Arabidopsis thaliana: one gene and its partners. The protein of the gene in region 1 interacts with the protein of each later gene in a pairwise test. Each region holds a gene or a part of one and is shown in the gene's direction. Other genes may lie near its edges.

The links.
Region 2: the proteins of ARD4 (region 1) and AT3G52960 interact in a two-hybrid assay, tested with the Arabidopsis thaliana proteins (one large-scale study listed by BioGRID).
Region 3: the proteins of ARD4 (region 1) and AT2G03780 interact in a two-hybrid assay, tested with the Arabidopsis thaliana proteins (one large-scale study listed by BioGRID).

Annotation. Positions count from the first base shown.
Region 1 is NC_003076.8:17,624,406-17,632,877, reverse strand, and holds ARD4 (RmlC-like cupins superfamily protein), read left to right. Parts: upstream 1-3,514; 5' UTR 3,515-3,755; coding exon 3,756-3,767; intron 3,768-3,992; coding exon 3,993-4,080; intron 4,081-4,296; coding exon 4,297-4,391; intron 4,392-5,010; coding exon 5,011-5,250; intron 5,251-5,385; coding exon 5,386-5,514; 3' UTR 5,515-5,746; downstream 5,747-8,472. Other genes in the region: AT5G43870 (auxin canalization protein (DUF828)), read left to right, coding at 132-340; CLH2 (chlorophyllase 2), read right to left, coding at 694-1,380, 2,117-2,386; HSFA6A (heat shock transcription factor A6A), read left to right, coding at 6,514-6,747, 6,827-7,441. UniProt on the Arabidopsis thaliana protein: Catalyzes 2 different reactions between oxygen and the acireductone 1,2-dihydroxy-3-keto-5-methylthiopentene (DHK-MTPene) depending upon the metal bound in the active site.
Region 2 is NC_003074.8:19,635,732-19,641,307, forward strand, and holds AT3G52960 (Thioredoxin superfamily protein), read left to right. Parts: upstream 1-3,817; 5' UTR 3,818-3,967; coding exon 3,968-4,672; 3' UTR 4,673-4,979; downstream 4,980-5,576. Other genes in the region: AT3G52950 (CBS / octicosapeptide/Phox/Bemp1 (PB1) domains-containing protein), read left to right, coding at 1-805. UniProt on the Arabidopsis thaliana protein: Thiol-specific peroxidase that catalyzes the reduction of hydrogen peroxide and organic hydroperoxides to water and alcohols, respectively. Plays a role in cell protection against oxidative stress by detoxifying peroxides.
Region 3 is NC_003071.7:1,151,849-1,158,377, reverse strand, and holds AT2G03780 (Translin family protein), read left to right. Parts: upstream 1-4,055; 5' UTR 4,056-4,092; coding exon 4,093-4,177; intron 4,178-4,209; exon of another isoform or gene 4,210-4,266; coding exon 4,267-4,373; intron 4,374-4,596; coding exon 4,597-4,676; exon of another isoform or gene 4,677-4,776; coding exon of another isoform or gene 4,777-4,793; coding exon 4,794-4,935; intron 4,936-5,023; coding exon 5,024-5,173; intron 5,174-5,279; coding exon 5,280-5,481; intron 5,482-5,564; coding exon 5,565-5,662; 3' UTR 5,663-5,932; downstream 5,933-6,529. Other genes in the region: GEK1 (D-aminoacyl-tRNA deacylase), read right to left, coding at 1-43, 127-201, 293-348, 584-636, 796-859, 960-1,102, 1,234-1,414, 1,492-1,728.

The DNA of each region.
Region 1 (8,472 bases):
CGGATTTGTCTAATGGTAATTCCATTATTACACACTTTCCTTTTCAGTTCACATTAGTCTTAAGTTTTTGGTCTATAACTAAATTAGTTTGTCACTAAGTCGCTGAATTTTTGATGTATTGATCTCTGTAGATGTGGTGGTGGGATTGGTTAAGGGATTACCGGCGTGGCCTGGCCGGGAAATGCTCGAGGGTGGAGAGAATTTGAGGTATTTCGGGCTGAAGACGGTGGAGAAAAGAGTGATTGAATTCGAGTGCAAAAGCCAAAGGGAATATGATCTTTGGACACAAGGTGTTTCCATGCTTCTTTCCATTGCTTCTGATAGGAAACATAAATGTTGAATTAAGGTATAGTCTTGGGTAAAGTCACATGAATATGGAAACTAATGGGGCAAATTTGTATTATCTATTTTTCTTGGTGTGCCTTTTTTCTAGCTAGAAGAGATATTGGGTCTGAGCTGTCTAATTTATATTTTTAAAGTAAGATCTTTGTATTAGAAGAATATGTAAATTACATGATATTCTTTTAAAGGTTTTGAAAGTTCACTCTTCTAGTATTGTGAATGTGATCGGGTTAATATCATAAGCAAAGAGGTGACTTAAAGAGTTGTACAATATAAGTTTGTAAAACCATAAGCAACAAAAGCTGATGATATTGACAATAGAAAAACCAGCCCCTAAAGAAAAACTTATGTTTACATGATAACCTCAAACTCTTGAATTTCAACGGGAACATCCTCGTGACACCCATCTTTGATCTTAACTAATTCACGATCATCTCCTTCCAAATAAGCCTTCAAAAATGATACAACAAGTCCACCAACGAATCTCCTCATTGGTCTCCTCTCTTCACCATTCTTACACAAACAATAAGAACTCTTCCCTCTAATCCCTTTTGTATCATCATCAAGCATGTCCAAATGCCCATAATCCTTCGCAACGAAATGCCATGCTGGACCTTGACATTCCCGAAAGAACTCTCGGTGATTCACTCCGGGAGGTGCACACGGTGGGAATAATGGGTTCCGAGCGGTTTCACCAAGCCCCGAACCGATCACAAGTATAGGCGTTTTGTCTAGGTCAAATGAGTTTGGAAGGTAAGCCAACACCGGAGGAGGGGTTTGTTTCCCTTTCCCTGTTCCATCGACTGGATCTATACCGATCAATGTCGAGATCTTTAGATTCGAGGAGTACCCAAATTTCTTTAAGGCGACCGCAAACGCGGTTTTGCCACCGCGGCTATGGCCGGAGAGGGCAAATTTGGATAGGTTTGGTGTTACTTGCGCTGGAAGAAAGTGATTAAGTCCTACTGATAACCAATCCATAATCTCCGCCGTTGATTTAATCTCATCCATTGTGTCTGGTCCGGCGATACTATATAACTGTTATAATATCACATAGCCAAGAAATTTGATTTACAACCATATAAAATAAAATGTTAACATTTGATATTAGAAATTCGAGAGACTCTAGAGACAAAAACAGGATAAACACATCAAGTGGACCCATTGATATGCATTTTTGTTCTTACTTTTCTTCTTGTCTAAGGTTCTTATAAGAGCCAAACAATAATAAAAGAAAAGTTTCAGAAAAATAACTAATTTAAACGTGGCATAATGTGTTCCATGCATCCAGCTGAATTATAGATACATCTTGGTTAAATCCTAAATCCTAAATCCTATAAGTCCTAACAAATCAATGTATATGTATTTATTATGATTTTTTTGGATTCAACTAGAATATCTTAATACATGGACCTACATATTCATGAACATTCACACTAAACCTCAAAGGACCAAGTAGTCAGTCACATGCAATATTTGCACAAAATGGAATGGAACGAGATTGTAGCGAATTTACATTTTTCTAAACTCTACACTAATACTAAATCCCTAAACAAAAACTATACACTGGATTTAACAATTCCGATAGTACCATTTCCATAAAAATAACTCATAACATTTTACTAATTAAACAAAAACTATACACTAGTTTGACCCCCCAAAAAATAATTTCTATACTAAATTACTAATACACATAGGAATCTAAAACTAAACAAGAATTTCAGTGGCTAATTAGTTCCTGAACTAATGTAATGATTGGAAATTGAAATTGAACCTGAGGAGCGATGAGGATGAAGCCATGAGAAGAGACATGCAACATAAGCTGAGAATAGAAGGAGTTGTAGAGAAGGTAACCATGGAGGAGCATCACCACCGGATAATCTCCTTCCTCCACCGGCGTAGCCACCAACAGCTGCTTTGGCGGAGACGGTGAAGCTCTAGAAGACGGTGTTATTTTGCAGCAACGAGATGATGAGTCCAAGGTTAAGAGATTTGATTTGTATTTGCCATCTTCAAAGGCGTTTCTTGATGAAGAAGAGGACATTTTTTTTGTTCTTTATTAGTTTTTCTTTTCTTTACTTTTTTTGTTTGGTGGGTTCATGAGAATGAGGTGAGTAGAGATATTATTAAAAGTTATAAGAAGTATGGCCGTTGAAATCTTGGTTAATTTTAAAGAGCACATAAACAAAATCAAATAGAAAAAAATTACTTATGTTAAATTACTTATATTATTGGGGTTGGTGTAATGATAAATCTTCCAGATGTAGATATTGGATTAAACGTCTGTTGAAAAGAATCTATTTTCTAAAGAATATAAATTTAACTTGTGTCCCATCTCTAAAAAATATAAGACCTTTAAATTTAAACTTCTAAATATTTTTTTTTAAAAAACAAATCAAATAGAAAGAAATTACTTATGTGTGCATGGAATATAACAACTACAATCATAAGGCCATATATTCATAGTCTATTTTCAGTATTGAAACCTGATTTTTTCTAATTTTGGGTAATAAATTTTATGAAGTCTTTTTATTATAGTCTAGTTAAATTTCTCTATATTTAAACAAAGTCAGATCCTATATATATGAGATTTTTTGGAATTTTAAAAAATATTTAAATTCAAACAAAATAATTGGAGATTTGAATTTTTGTAAGAAAGTTACTTTGTGTTTCAGATTAAATTTAATAATAAATGGTCAAAAGATTTATGACTAAGAAGTATTAAAAATTAAAATATAGAAGAGAAAAAAATTGATATGATATGATATGCTCTTAGCAAAAAAATAAATTGATATGCTGTTGCTGGGTACAAGGAATGGGCTTTGTACTTCATACTAGACTACTTTTTCTCTAGTCCAATTTAAAAAAAAAAAAAACATTATATAACATTCGAGACTAATTTAAAGTGTTAAACGGCCCAATTTGTATTACACGGCCCAAGTTAAAGTGTTAAACATTACCTCATTACCTATGTACGATTTGTGGAAAAAAAATATATATACCTATGTACGATTTTGGATTACATTTTTTTTTTCTAGTTAAAACTAATTTCAAGTTTGAAATATAAATTATATATCTGAATATAGATCATTCTAGTTCAAATCAGATGGAAATATATGAACCTCAGAAAATACAATATCATACAAATGAGCCAATGTTTTGGTCTTATTCATTCATGATCATTGTGGCTCGAAAACGGTTGTTTTTTTCGTGCAAAAGAAAAAATAACGATTTTTTATTATTAGAATTTCGAAACCAGAATTAATAAAAATTAGGAGAAAGGAAAATAATACGAATTAAAGTGATCGTACACGTGGCTATCATCGACGGAGGAAATAGCCATTTATTTATCTGATCTTCATCACTCTGATGAGTCTGAAATCAAAAAAGCATTTACACAACGAAGATCATTAATGGCTCTCGAGGTGAGTTCTGATTCATAGGTTCTAGATTCTGATTTCGAATCTCGATTCGTTCAATAGTGATTATCGTTGCTCTTTCGGAATTATTTTGGGGATTTGATTTGATTTTGGCAGAACTGAGAATTGGGATTTGATTTTACCGTTTTGCAGCTGAAATTGAAAATTGAATCAAAAGTTTTTTCTTGAGATTTTTTTCTTTCCCTGAGGCTTAAGTGTTGATTGATGCAGGCATGGTTTATGGATGATAGCAATGAGGACCAGAGACTTCCTCATCATCGTAACCCGAAAGAACTCGTCTCGTTGGATTACTTGGCAGGTCTTTTCAATTCTCTACCTTAAAAATTACTCTTACTTTGCAACTTTTGAAAAACATCAATCTTTCATGCTTTATTGTATTGAGTAGTGATTCTACATGAGGAAACTAAACGTAAACCGTCTTAAAACTAAGGAAATGGTCAAATTTACCCAAGATGAGATTTAACAGAATCATAAATTATGCAAATATCACAAATATAGTTGTTGTGTTTTGTAGAGTTGGGAGTGTTGTACTGGAAGTTGAACCCTGAGAACTACGAGAATGATTCTGAACTTAGCAAGATTAGAGAAGACAGGGGTTACGATTACATGGTACGCATATTATCTCTTCCTGATCACTGTTTTTTCTTAACTTAGGAACACTCATGCTCATCATAAATGCCAATTGAATGTCTCTGTTTTTTAACTTGTTGCATATCGTTGCATGTTGATCTCATGAGATTAACGATTGTGACATATACTAGACACAGTAGGAGTGTAGGACTACATAATGAAGGTAGTACTCAAACCTTACAAAACCAGCCTATGAAGAAAGAAGCCTTATGAGTATTAGAGTACAGGATTTGCTACGGCTTATGTCTTTCTGATCACCCTTTTTTAACTCATGCTCACCATAAGCGGCTATTGATGTTTCAGTTCCTTTACTTGTTATCTCTGCACGCTAATCTCATGAAAAAAAAAAACATGTATCATAGGACAGTAGGACTATAATCTTGCATAACCATTAAGGGGTAGTATGACTACAAACATTTTAGAAACCAGCTTATTAAGGAAGAAGGCTTCTCTGTAATTGAGTATTAAGGGAACATTAAAACGTTTGGTTTACGTTAAAAATAATTAAGCTATTTGTGTGGTGTGTAGCATTGTAACTTATGAGCTATAAACTAATTTTCTCAAGCAGAATGATTACTTTGGTTAATCTTCATTTTAGGATTTGCTGGATCTGTGTCCCGAGAAAGTCAGCAACTACGAAGAAAAGCTGAAGAACTTTTTCACAGAACACATTCACAAGGACGAAGAGATTCGGTACTGCCTAGCAGGAAGTGGCTACTTTGATGTTAGGGACAAGGATGATCGTTGGATCCGTATCTGGATGCAACCTGGCGATCTCATTGTCCTTCCTGCCGGAATCTACCACCGGTTCACACTCGACGCCAGCAACTACATCAAGGTACAAAAAGCCAAACTCAGTCTCTATACTAATTTACTAATTTATATGAATACGCAAATGAAATATTACATCTTAATATCTTATGTTAAAAGATTTGATTGTTGGTTTGTGATGTATGGTGGTTTGGTTTTGCAGCTAATGAGGCTGTTCGTGGGGGAACCGGTTTGGACACCATATAACCGGCCACAGGAAGAACATCCTGTTAGGAAAAAGTATATCCACGGCTTAACCTACAAGTTTGGAGAAACCGTTAAAGCACATTAACAATATTAATATATGCTTGTTGTGTAATTTGTATGTATTGTTTACTCTTTAGTCTTAAGCAGTAAAATAAAAACAGCGGCTCCTTCTGGATAGTTGTTCTTGTAACATACTTTTGCGATGTATGCTTTTATACATAAAAAAAATAGTGTGTATTTATCTAATAAGTATCATTAAAAAACAAATGTCAGCTGCGAACGTGAAATTTATAACTAAAAAAACCCTACGATTTTCGAATAAATTATTTGAGCTTTCCAAACTGTAATTCAAGTATTATTACTTATATAGTGTTAGTGTACTTCAAAAGTTAAAGCATAAATTTTCTTATATTTGAAATGACCTCTTCTTTACAAAATCTTCTTAAAATTATGCATTATCAATATATTAATTGTATATATATATATAATGTATAATTCTGCTTGTGTCGTGCTTAACCGTTTGATTTGGTGTGGTTAGATCTGGTTTTCCCCCAACCCAATTCAATTGAATCAAGGATCAATCAAATTTTCAAAGGATACTCTTGTTCTCTACACAAATCTTTCAAAGGGTTCCACCAAAAATCCCATCATTCTGACTTCAGAATAAACAAACAAACCACGAAACGTATCTCTATGCATTCACTACAACGTGTCATGGGCGAAAACGAAGCTTATAAATGTTGGAGCATAGTCACTAAATTTATAATGATTAATTAAATTTTAGATTTTCTGATATTCATAGAAGACAAAAGAACACAAAAGTAGCATCTTCCAATGAATGTATGACACTATGATCTCTCATTTCCATTTATAGCAAATCGGCTTTGTCCACATCAAAGATAACTAATAAATAGACTTATCCAAAACACTCAAAAGCAATACATTTCTATCCAAAAATATTAAACCCCAAAAATATAGACAGCATAAAAGCATCCTCAAGCTTCAGCTATTCATCACAACTATTCTCTCCTCTCTCTTTTTTTATTAAAAAAGCTCAAATTTATATAGGTTTTTTGTTCACAAAATGGATTATAACCTTCCAATTCCATTAGAGGGTCTCAAAGAAACGCCACCAACGGCTTTCTTGACGAAAACATACAACATAGTGGAGGATTCAAGCACAAACAACATAGTTTCATGGAGCAGAGACAACAACAGCTTCATTGTTTGGGAACCAGAGACTTTTGCCCTAATTTGCCTCCCTAGATGCTTTAAGCACAATAATTTCTCCAGCTTTGTTAGACAGCTCAATACTTATGTACGTAACTACTTTTGAGTTTTTGTCTTGGTTATTTTGATCTTCATTAAAAATTAAATCTTTGTTTAATGATCTGTAGGGGTTTAAGAAGATTGATACAGAGAGATGGGAATTTGCAAATGAGCATTTTCTGAAGGGAGAGAGGCATCTTCTTAAGAACATCAAGAGAAGAAAGACATCATCTCAAACGCAAACGCAGTCGCTAGAAGGAGAGATCCATGAGCTGCGAAGAGACAGAATGGCTTTAGAAGTAGAACTGGTTAGACTGCGACGAAAACAAGAAAGCGTGAAGACATATCTGCATTTGATGGAAGAGAAACTGAAAGTCACAGAAGTAAAGCAAGAAATGATGATGAATTTCTTGCTAAAGAAGATTAAGAAACCGAGTTTTTTACAGAGCTTAAGGAAACGTAATCTGCAAGGAATCAAGAATCGAGAGCAAAAGCAAGAGGTGATCTCAAGCCATGGTGTTGAGGATAATGGAAAGTTTGTTAAAGCTGAGCCAGAAGAGTATGGTGATGACATCGATGATCAATGTGGAGGTGTGTTTGATTATGGTGATGAGCTTCACATAGCTTCAATGGAGCATCAAGGACAAGGGGAGGATGAAATTGAAATGGATAGTGAAGGAATTTGGAAGGGTTTCGTGTTGAGTGAGGAGGAGATGTGTGATTTAGTGGAACATTTTATATAATAAACTAATGTATTATGAGAGGTTTTTTTTTGTTTTTTTGCTTTTTTTTTCCGAGTTTGTCATCAAGCATTGTATACAATTTGGGCCAAACTAAAAGCCCAACAAAATATTTGGCCTTGGCATTTGTTAACAAATTGACTAATTCGGCCACACCTTCCACTCCATTGATTGTTCAAAGACGTCTATCAACATTTTATTTCTCCTGAGCACTAACTATAAAGTATTTACATTTTTACACAAATTTTATTGCTGTCAATTTTAAAAAGTAGCTAAAATACGATACAATTATTTTAATTTAAGTCAGTTATACGTTTCGATCGAAGCGCGTGACGAATCGAACCGTTGGATTGACCTTTTATTTAAGAGATATTGCCTTTTATGATCACCCATGTGGCTTTCCTCGATTTAATTTTATTTTTAATTATTAATAATCGAGTGCACGTACTCGCCACGTCATTTTCATGACTTTATTTTTATAAATCTTATCCTCATTTGTACCATTAGATTCTTCCCTCAAATAAAGCCTTTTTTATACGTTACTACTAAATAAATTAATTCCTCCATCTTAGGAAAATTTTCTCTAATTAAGCGACAACTTTCTAATAAATACTGCATTATCAAACGCACCTAATATTACACAAACGATAATAAAATGGATACTTTTCAGATATGTTTTCAAAATCGTTTATCTATTTAATATTATTACACTACCAATAATATCCAGCATTTGCAATGAATGTAATTACGTAATTAAGTCCTATTTTACACGTCTACTAAATTTATAAACTTTTTATCATAAAAATAGTTATTACATTCCAAAAATTACTAGTAACATTCCTATAAATTGCGTTACTATTTATCCAAACAAATTACTATTTTTACAATCTACATTGCCTTATCAAAAGTTTAAAATCAGATAATTGTGATTCCGTTTAAAGATATGATTATCCATCTAATTAACTCTTTTTTATTAACCTCATTGAGAAAAAAGAAAAATATCCAAAACTTTCTTATCCTCTTGAATCACGACA
Region 2 (5,576 bases), on another chromosome or scaffold:
AAATTTATCTCCTGAATTGACTCTTGTCGAGAAGGTAATGACACCGAATCCTGAATGTGCATCGCTAGAGACAACGATTCTGGATGCGTTGCATACAATGCATGATGGAAAGTTTCTACATCTTCCAATTATAGATAAAGATGGATCAGCTGCAGCTTGTGTAGACGTTCTTCAGATTACTCACGCAGCTATTTCAATGGTGGAGAACAGTTCTGGAGCTGTAAATGATATGGCAAACACGATGATGCAGAAATTTTGGGATTCAGCTCTTGCGTTAGAGCCACCTGATGATTCTGACACTCAAAGTGAAATGTCGGCAATGATGCATCATTCAGATATAGGGAAGCTCAGTTCTTACCCATCTCTAGGACTAGGGAATTCGTTTTCGTTCAAATTTGAAGACCTTAAGGGCCGTGTACATCGGTTTACTTCTGGAGCTGAAAACCTCGAAGAGCTGATGGGTATTGTGATGCAAAGAATTGGCAGCGACAATAACAATGTGGAACAACGGCCTCAGATTATATATGAGGACGATGAAGGTGATAAGGTTTTGATTACATCGGATAGCGATTTGGTTGGTGCTGTTACTCTTGCTAGGTCTACAGGACAAAAGGTTTTGAGGCTGCATCTGGACTTCACTGAGTCAACAAGGAGCTTGAGCTCAGAAACCACCCAACTCAAGAAAGGTGATTCTCGAGACAGAGGAAGCGGATGGGTTTCATGGCGTGGTGGTGTGGTGGTTACAGGAGCTGTTGTCCTAACAAGCATAGCCATAGTTGTTTACTTGAAGCGTTCAAAGAACTGATTTTTGCTGAAGCAAACTGTTTGGGATGCAGAACAAAAACTCTTTTTCTCTTAATTTTTTGGTAAGTTTCATACAGTTTGTCTCTTGTCTTTTGGGGTCACATGTTTTGCGAATGCAAACAGAAAAAAAAACAAAAAACTTTGTTTCCCTATGATATTAAATTAATGGGGAAAAACCTTATTCAGATTACTCTATTTGACAGAGTTTATGTAAAACCTCTGAAACCGGGAAAATAAATCAAGGGAATATCATTGCACTGCAGATTCTGGTCTTTGATATAAGTGAATATGTGTTTGCTTCCTTCTTGTGAATGTGTTTGTGTCACTGTTCCTTAGAGCGATTGTTGTGTGGATATGAGAAAGACAGAGGAACATATGGAGGAAAACACGTGTGTTATCTATGAAGCTTATCTATCAATATTACATGGAATTTGTGAATGTGTGGTTAGGTTGCATATATTAAGCAAACCAACAAAGAAATCACAATCTCGACACAAATATATTATAGTTATGAGAGGTCTCCAAACATAATGATAAGAGGAAGATACAAACGTTTATTAAGAAGGTTATATTTCATATGAGTGACATCAAGGCAGGTTTGCCCGAGAGGTTAAGGGGGAAGACTTAAGTTCTTCTGCACATAAGTGCGCGTGGGTTCGAACCCCACAGCCTGCATTTGTATTTTTTTTTCATTTTTCTGAGACAAAACTGAGATGTGTTTTTTTTCGTCCCCTTAATAAATTTAGTTACCATCAAGGATTTGTGTTCAACATTTAAGAAGTCTTATGAGAGATTTGTATAGAATTTATAAATCCTACATTTTTAAGAAGTCTCATGAAAACAATTTGTGGATTTGAATTTTTAATGATTTTGGAGGATTTCCTGTATTAAAAATATAGAAATCTAAATCTCATAGTTTAAGGTGAGATTTGAATAGATTTTACAAAAATCATGAACTTCCCTAAAATCATCAAAATCATTTAAATACTCAATAAAACTCAAATCACTTTAAATTCTAATTTGAATACACCCCCCTTAGTGTCTATTAAATTGGAACGAATTTGAGAAACTTAGAAATTAAGTTCATGGTAATCTTTAGATTTTTAACCATTTAGCTCTTTCCACGTACAATGTATGCTTTTTTGTTTTCCTTTCTCAAACATAACTGCATCAACTGATTTGTAGAGCTAAAGTAGTGTGTATATACTATCTATAACTTAATTTATCCTATGAAGTAGAAGTTGAATAAATTTATAACAAGGTAACGATCAAATGTTTAGAATTAGGATCCCAACCAAGGCCTCTCCATGTAGCAAAACAAAACATAACCTAAGGACGAGTAGAATATTTCACGGTCGATATCACTGAAAATCACGTAAGACAAATTGTATAGGTAATGCATTTTGTAAAATCAACTCTTTCATTTTTTCTGGAAGAAAAACAACTCTTTCATTAATATGATATTTACAATTTAGCAAAAGAAAAAAATGGATAGTTAGAATAATAGACGCATATTTCTTCTCAGCTATATAGTATTCGAATTGCGTTGAAAAATGAATTGGTTTTTTTTATCATTATTGTCGATTGTCATCAGCCATCACTAAAAATGATTCACCCATAAGCTAAAAAAAAAACAATATGATACTCAAAACTTGCCCATGTGAAATAGAAAATCTTTAACATCTTACACATCATGACATAAAAGCCTCCAACATGAATAAAATAGTTAGTATATCTAAACGTCAAGACAAGCGCTCCTGATCGAACCAAGTCTTAAGCATATACAGGAACAAACCAGAAACTTTTTGAGCAAACGTATCCTTTAATGATGTCATCATAAGCGTTGCCAAAAAAAAGAACATCTTTGATTGTGACCCCATGACCAAATATCAACAACTCACCTCCAAGAGAATGTACTCTTTCCCAGTTACTACTTTCAAAATTCATCTTGAAGATGTAAAACAAGCGTGAGTTTTGTAACCGTTTAATGCTCACAGCGATCAAAACATCCATTGAGTTCGTAATCGCAATCCTCGTCTTCCCACCGTATTCCCCAAGTTGGTTATCAAAGCAAAACGGATGGTCACGGTACGGGTTTCCTTGGACGATTTCTTTTGGGAAAGCTCCAGAGAAATCAAGTCTTGATGTAGCTATCAATTGTATACACATAAAGCTTATCGTCTTTATAAGTCATGTGTGTACAATATATGTCTTCAACATTCCACCAATAATCATCTTCATTCTTGTATGTGAACAAACAGTTTTCTTCGGTAATACAAGCTACAACATAATCCTTTGTTCTCTCGTTTATCCAAAAACAAGCCAAATTTTTGAGAGGAGACGTCAATTTGGTTTGTTTTCCTTTATATGACTTCATTGATGGAAGATTGATCATCTCGCGAGTAAACACGTTCAAAAGATATAAGAAATCTAAACTAGGATCATTCATCAAGAGCCAACTACTCCAACTAGCCATAACAAAGCTTTTCAATAAATCAAATCCAAGACATTCTACTTCGAAGGAGAATTCGCGATCTTCACTGTGATGACCCAAAAAAGTACCATCCTCGTCGCGCATAAGTTGCCATGGATACCATATAGGTCGCGTACATGATCTTGAAACTAAATACCATTGTGAGCAAACGCTCCTCGCTCGATGATAATCCTTAGTCTCTAATCCTTCAAAGATTGATCTCAAAATATCGAAACAAAGGTTGGACCAATCACTACGAATTCTAGACATTCTCTCCGTAGTGCCTACGATACCAATGGAAACCTAATTTGTTTTTTTTTTTTGGCATCAACCCTCTTTAAAAGCAAATATATAAATATCAAAGCCTTAGGAACAAGGCGGTGAAAACAATGTAGGCCCATTAAGGCCCAATAACGGCGTTAGGAAATTCCAAATTATTTTGAAAAAGCTTTCCGATTTCACGCTCTTTTCCTCTTCCCTCCAATCTCATTGTGTCCACCATTTTTTGCATCAACCCTATTTAAAAGCAAATATGTAGATATTAAAGAATGCGGTGAATAATACAATTTAGGCCCACTAAGGATCAGGCGGTGAAAACAATGTAGGCCCAATAATGACATAGCCTTTCATCTTTCTCTACTCAATCCAAAACAAACCTCAAGTCACACACTCTTCACCTAAACAGCATCAATGGCGACTTCTCTCTCCGTTTCTAGATTCATGTCCTCCTCCGCCACCGTTATCTCCGTCGCTAAGCCGTTACTTTCCCCCACCGTATCCTTCACCGCGCCGCTCTCCTTCACACGCTCTCTCGCTCCTAATCTCTCTCTCAAATTCCGCAACCGCCGCACCAATTCCGCCTCCGCCACCACCAGATCCTTCGCTACGACACCCGTCACCGCCTCCATTTCCGTCGGAGACAAGCTCCCAGACTCCACTCTCTCCTACCTCGATCCATCCACCGGAGACGTCAAAACAGTAACCGTCTCATCCCTAACCGCCGGGAAGAAAACAATCCTATTCGCCGTTCCCGGCGCATTCACACCAACATGCTCACAAAAACACGTCCCTGGATTCGTATCCAAAGCCGGAGAACTCAGATCTAAAGGCATCGATGTAATCGCATGTATCTCCGTCAACGACGCGTTCGTGATGGAAGCGTGGAGGAAAGATCTTGGAATTAACGATGAGGTAATGTTGCTATCCGATGGAAATGGCGAATTCACAGGGAAGCTTGGTGTTGAATTGGATTTGAGGGATAAGCCTGTGGGACTTGGAGTTAGGTCAAGGAGATATGCGATTTTGGCTGATGATGGTGTTGTGAAAGTTCTGAATCTTGAAGAAGGAGGTGCTTTTACTAATAGTAGTGCTGAGGATATGCTTAAAGCTCTCTGATTCTTATGATTTTCTCATCAATTTCGTCTTCTTCTCTGTTTTGAATTTTCTTTACTCTGTTTTGTGTTGCTGTTTCTTTAAATCTACGAATCATTATCGGATTTGTAATGGAATAATGAAGTTAGAGGTTCTGTTGTTTGTGAACATTTTAGAAAAGCGTTGTGTTTAGTTTTCGGATGTTACTACTTTTGGTTAATTTTTTCTCTTTTGACTTTTATAATTTTGATTGAGTTTAGGTATTAACCTAACACTTACTGATAGTTTGTCACAGTGACAAGTTAATATAAACATGTAATGAAAATTTTCCACTTAAAAATTCATGAAATAGAGCTATTAATTTCTAGAAAAAGTTAACTTATCGAAGTCGGGTTCTCTGAAACGTGTTGCTGATCACCGGTCGGTCAGGGATTTGGTCCGGAGTAAGTCTTATGATATGGAGAGGTTTTGACCATAAAATCCTCTTGGTAAAACATTAGTAAGATACCAACCCAAAGACCTCTCCAAAAGGCACGTTTTTTTATTATTATACTACTTGACATGATCCTTTTTTTTTCCTCGGTGCATCTTTGATATGATTATCTTAAGTTTAAGGAGCATAATGAATTACCTTTTCAATTGATCTATGTAGAGTAATGGAGATTGGAGACCAACAAGCAACAATCCTGACTTTTGGAAAGGACGTTGGGGTTGGTTGCTAGTTGGATGCCACGTCTACGTGCTAACGTATGCATTGATGCACAAATAGCGAAAAACTTTAGTTTATATCCTTTTTTTTATAACAAAACAGACAATAAAGCCCAAATGTGGTCAGCTTCACTACTGGATCGGCTATGTCAGTTTACCGAATCAAATCTCCCACAATAACGCCAAATTATTCTTAGATATTTTTTTCTTTTTCTTTTGG
Region 3 (6,529 bases), on another chromosome or scaffold:
TGAGTATCCAGAAAGCAAATGGCCTACCCAAATATCATCTTTCCTGATGAATGCAGAATCAAAACAATGAGATAAAGAACGTGTTCAATGTTGTGCTTGCACAAAGCAGAGTTCTTGACAACTTACAAAGCTATATCCATGTGACGAGGAGCATAATGTCCACCTCCAATGCCTAAAAGAACTTTCCTCTTTCCGGTTTCACTGTCCACCCAAAAACAATCCACACTAAGTTTAGATCGATACTTCGGTTTTTCTTTATGTCGAGGTAATGATTAAGCCCCAATGGATATACCTTTTCCACTTCCCTACTTCTTCACTGCCTCCTAGCCCAAGACCTTCCCACATTAACTGAATCACAAAACACAAATGCTCCTTACTAAATGGAAGCAAACTTAGAGATATAGACTAAAAGTTACTGGCCAGTCATGAGCCTCAAAAGTTGTTGTTAAGCATGATGATTATTAGAACCAAACTTTCAACCCTAGAGAAGTCTTTAAATCCACAGGAAACAACAAGATACAAGAACAACGACCTTTTTCTACCTCCTGAAACCATTTCAATTAACTAACTTTTTTACACTTACAAGAGCCATGACTTGAGCTGCGTCTTGCCTCTTCCAGTATTCCTCGGTACTACCTACACACACGTTATTCATTCTCAGACTATAGATTCAATTCCTCAAAAACTACACTGGAGATGAACTAAGAAACTCGGATACACAACGAAATGGCAATTTCAAGAGAGCGAGCAGAGAGCTAATCAATTCAGATAAAAGGAACAAAGAAAGAAACTCACCAATCTCCAAAAACATCGTTGGCTTGTTAGTTATTGGTCCATGATGAGTAGCTTCCAATGTTATCTGCATCCACACAAAGCAATTTACATTCTCTCTCACCTTAAACCATACTTCAATTCCAATCAAAAGCAAAACTCATAAGAGAGAGTAAACAGCAAAATACCTCAAACTCAGGAACTAAACCATGAGCTTCAGCCATTTTCTTCAAAAGACGAAACCATGGACCAATTCTAGTGCTTGGCAACGCCGCCCATCCAGGCTTTCCTCCTTGCGGCGGTGATTCTCCATCCTTTAGATGAAGCACTCCTACACTTATCAACCAAAACATCCTTCAGGAAAACATAAAACAACCAAAACCCAAATACAAAGTTTGAATCTTTCAGAAAATCGTAAAAAGAACAAAGCCCTAATCAAAAGTTTGGATTTTGATGCACTACCAATCGGATGAACAGTTAAAGCAGGACGATTTGAGACGGCGGTGTGACGGCTGAGGAAGATGACTTCATCAACAACTTCACCGGTAGCTTCTTCCCAACGTAAATCGAGATCGTCTTCTTTTACTATAGATCTATCGTGTTGAATCACTCTCGTTTGCTTGTTACTAAAACTCTTTATGTCCTGAAAATTTCGACAAGAACAAAATCAGACGAGAGAAAGGTTGATACTTTACCGGCGGAGGATGATTGAAACTTTACCGGCGGTAAGATAGGTCCGGCGGTCCAACCGGGCATGGCGAGAAGCGCCGCCGCAGGGTTGATCGACGCTGGATCGGCGGTGGTGGCCACGATTAGTGTTACCATTTTTCGAGTTGTTACTGTAACGCGATTATTGGCGTTTAAAAGCGATTGGATATGAGTTGCGTTTGCTTTGAGTCTATTGTTGTGCGTGTGGAGGAAGTGTATAATGTTTCGGCCGCTTATTTTCAAAATCATGAATTGAAACTTTTAGGTTTTAACTTTCGGAAAGGTGTTTAAAAGGATTTTATTTTGTTTGATCAACAAGCTAAGCAATTACTGAGTTCAATTGGTAATCAAGTTTAAACGAGGTAACTAATTTTTTTTAAGCGGTTAAAAAAAAAAACCAGTATTCGGAAAAATTGTAAAAGATGATAAAAAATTGAATCGCCGGATTATATATGATTTTTCTATGTTTTGGTAATTATAAAACTAAAATTTAACTCAGCAATTTGCTACAGAAAAAAAAAACCGTAACAAACAAAATTAAATCAAATTGAGTCTTGAATCGAGTTGATAAGTACAAATCAATTTTGTCGATTTTTGAGTCTTGATTCTGTGATAGGGGAATTTAAATGTTAAAAGGACTAATCAAAAACAAATAACAAAAATATCATTTCAAATAATTGGTTAGAGTAATTTAGCAATTTAAAAACTTTTGGAGTTTTTTTATCTATATTAAGAAAAAGAAAAGTATATATCACATAGAAAGTATATAATATAATATCACATGCATAACTAATGTCAAGTTTTTTTTTTCTGAAATTATGAGCCGAATATGTCTTCTTATAGTTTTTTTTTTATGCATAGTGATTTAGTTTAGAAATGAGGTATAGTAGATAAATAACTTTTTTTTTCTGTGCGCGAAACTTAGTAATTAAAATAACATCCGCTAAAAACTAGGATTGAACCAGCAGTAAATTGCGAGAGAGAAAAAAAATTCTATTTTAATTTGTTGATATTTAATTTTTAAGTTTTCTTAATTTATTACGCCAAAGAGTATATATTTTACAGTAAGTATATATAGAATAAGATTATGAGTTGGTCATCACAAATATTATTGTTTTGTTAGTTATATATAAAAAAACATTTGTAAAATAAATTAAAGTATAATATGTATGTTTTATGGATTACAAGTTTTGGGGATCACCTGTTATTTATTTTTTTAACAATACCATTGTCATTTATGAAAATCAAATTAAACCAACCCACCTATTGAATTTGTCTCGCATCATGCTAAGATATTTTGCATACTTTTGACTGACTAATCTTCAAAAATCCATCTAATGACAATGAATAATATAATCTGATTAATCCATATGATAACACTAAGTATTGTAAATTTGTTTAATTTTGTAACCTAGATACATATAAACAGTCATATATCATCAAAGTTATGATCCATAAATTATTGACAAAAAAAGTCATGATCCATAAATTGTTGAAAAACAATTCATAATCCAAATGATTATACTACTTTAAATGGAAGACATAATATAAAGTGTTTGTTGATTCATGCCCGTTTGAGAGTTACTACACTTGAAACTGAAACTTAGAGAAAACAAAAAAAACAAGAAAATTATCTGAATGACAGTCGAGGTTACACAATTCATCACTAAGAAAGAAAACATATATTTTTTCTCTAGAGAGTTACATTTTCTAAATCATTGTTTCACGGTGGTTTATGAAATATTTGGCAGCAAAGTCACACTGATGAGTAAATTTTGGCTCATGAAAATTTAATAAATTTTGGCTGGTAAACAAATAGATAATATGTTGTGTGAACAAAAACGTATAAGTTTGAGGAACAACCAAATATAGTTATATGTTTGCTTAATAGACTTAGCTTTCATTTTTTCTAAAATGATATCCATAAAATTATTATAAGACTCATAATTTATTATGTGACATTTTATAACATAAATTGTATGTAAACCTAAGATATATAAAATAATTTTAAAACTAATTTTCGATTATTCTTCGATTAACCGAGTAATCATTAGGACCCATCGGCTGTCTAATTAACGACTAACAATATTTTGAACATGGAACAAAACTAATCATCTATATAGGAATTACCATTTAAACGTAAAACCAACAATTACTAAATGCTCATTTATCATTATGAAATCAAATTAGTATTAAACTCAAATCCAATTAGTTCAAAATATTCTCTAACATCTACCATCATAGTTTACAAGAATGTTGGTCATCTCAAATTGATTTATGCACTTTATTGAACACTTTTTGTACATAAAATAAGCTAGGTTGTAGAACACATTCAAAATTAGGAAAAGAAAAAAACAATATACTGTAAATTAACCTTAATTAAAAATACCATTCAAAACCGTGGAGAAAAAATGAATCAATCAATCCTAATTACAAAAAACTGGTGCTGCCCAGGATCGAACTGGAGACCTTTTGCGTGTAAGGCAAACGTGATAACCACTACACCACAGCACCTGATGTCTCCTTATTCTCTCGTTTAATATTTAACTTTCAAACTAAAGCATCGCGAAATAAACCTTTGGGCTTCGAGTGAGCATCGGAGAAATCAGACAGATGTTGAGTTGTTCTTCATCGGCGTTCCAAAGAGTAGCCTTTATGCTTATGGCTCCCAAATTAAAACCTCAGAGACTCCATCAAAGTATGTATACACACTCACTTCTACATATATCTATTGCTTTGTGTGGTCTTTAGTGTTGATTAGTAACGATGGTTTTGGTGTTTGTGTAGTTGCAGAGAGTGGTGTTGAACATTTGGTTAAGAAAGCTAGGACGATGAGTACTGAATCCTCAATGAAAGATGCTTTCTCTACTTACGCTGATTATCTCAATAACTTCGTAAGTGTTTCCTCTGCTCCATTGTTTCTCCTGGGTTTATCTGTTTGTTTATAAAGATTGAACCTTTGCGTCATGGGATTGAGTCCTTTAAGTAAGGTTTATAGGTTTAGACAACTAAAGAAATGATCTTTCATGTTGCAACTTGGGTTTTGTAATAGATTCTATAGCGAATTGAGAATAAAGGAGGAGGCTTTATCTGGTTTCTATGATTGTTTCTTTGTAGAATGAGAAGCGAGAAAGAGTGGTGAAGGTAAGTCGTGATATCACAATGAACAGCAAAAAAGTTATCTTTCAGGTTCACAGGTAATTTCAACACCTCTGTTGTTTTTGTTTGTGTTCATCAAGATTTTGTGTGTTTTTGTTGTGTTCTTCATCAAGATACTGTTTGTTTGTTTTGTTTACTATGTTGTTATATGGCAGGCTCAGTAAAGACAACAAAGAGGAGGTATTGGAGAAAGCAGGGAAGGATTTAGAAGCAGTGAGGGATCAACATTTTGCCCGGCTAATGAAAGAGCTTCAAGGGACTGATTTTTGGAAGCTGAGACGTGCTTATTCCCCAGGGGTTTGTGAAACGGAAAATCATTCATCTTTTGGTACGATTTTGGTTAATGGTTTAACTGATATGTTTTGTGGTTTTGTGTAACTTACAGGTGCAGGAATATGTTGAAGCTGCAACGTTTTATAAGTTCTGTTTGTCTGGGACGCTATGTACTCTCGATGAGATTAACACAACGCTTGTACCACTTAGTGACCCTTCTTTAGAGCCGTTGCAGATCAATATCCTCGACTATATTCTTGGGGTATTTTTTAGACCATCTTTATTTATGGTTAATACTTACTGTCAAAGATGTTCTCTATTGTTTGGAGTTCTGAATTATGTTTGATTATTGTTTGTTACTTGCACAGCTTGCAGATTTGACGGGAGAGCTAATGCGGATGGCAATTGGTCGCATATCAGACGGTGAAATCGAATTCGCGCAGAGGATTTGTCAGTTTGTTCGACAGATTCATAGGGAACTAATGCTAGTTGTGCCAAAGATGGATGACAGTTATGACATGAAATCCAAGATGGAAGTGATGCTTCAAAGTGTGATCAAAATAGAGAACGGTATGCACAAATCTCATATCCGCACACTATTAGATACCAACCAATACGTTTTTGTAACTCTTTTTTGTTTGTTTGTTTATTAGCTTGCTTTAGCGTTCACGTGAGAGGATTAGAGTATATTCCACTGCTTGGAGATAATGCACCAACATCATACCTATTGGGAGCTGCTGATGTCGAATGATTAAAAGTGAGTGGTCTTTTCCGTCTCTCGGACACATTTTAAAGTTCTTGTTAAGGTTGGTGTGTTTGCGACAAGTAGGATCGTTTTAGTATGGACTTATCTTCAGAGAATTTTAGCCACTTCTTACTTCTGAGGAACTTTAAATCTGTATGCTGCAAGACTTTTAAGAAACAAATGGTTAGAACTAGATGTAAAACTTTTCTTTTGTTGAATGGAAGCTAATTTATAATAGAATCTAGCAATTACTTTATTATTCAAGTTAATAATTTTGGCCCTTCTTCACTTTTTCTAGATCTTTCGTAATCCAGAAAGTACATTTTTTGGTTCTTGCTGTTTGTTTGTGCTTAATGAGGAAACATATATAGATACTCTTATCTTTTATGCAGCTACATATAATGCATCTTATTATAGTTCGACATTTGGTACTTTTATATAGGATTTTGACATTTTTTATAAATTTATATCTATCATTCATAGATAGAGTTTTATTTTGAAATCATAAATCTTTCTTTTGTAAAGAAAGTGATAAAAATAGAGAAAAATCTCACATTTTAAGATGTTCATAATCTAGTTATATATAGAGTTATGTGCAAGCAATACCACAATAGTACAATCTGTGTGATATGATTATTGGGTTTTGATGTTTTTCCTTTTTATTTTTAAGATTTCATGGCTTATATAAAGGATTTTTATGCTAATGAAAACACAACTTCCAACAATTAGCCTCTAAGAGAGACTTGGGTTAAGAGGAAGCTTGCTTTAAATCTCTTTGTTCTTTAAGCTTGAGCACTTCTTTGCAATTCAATCATTACTGAGATAACAGAGGGTCCATTTACAAAAGCAAGAGCAAAAGCTTTGGCTCATATC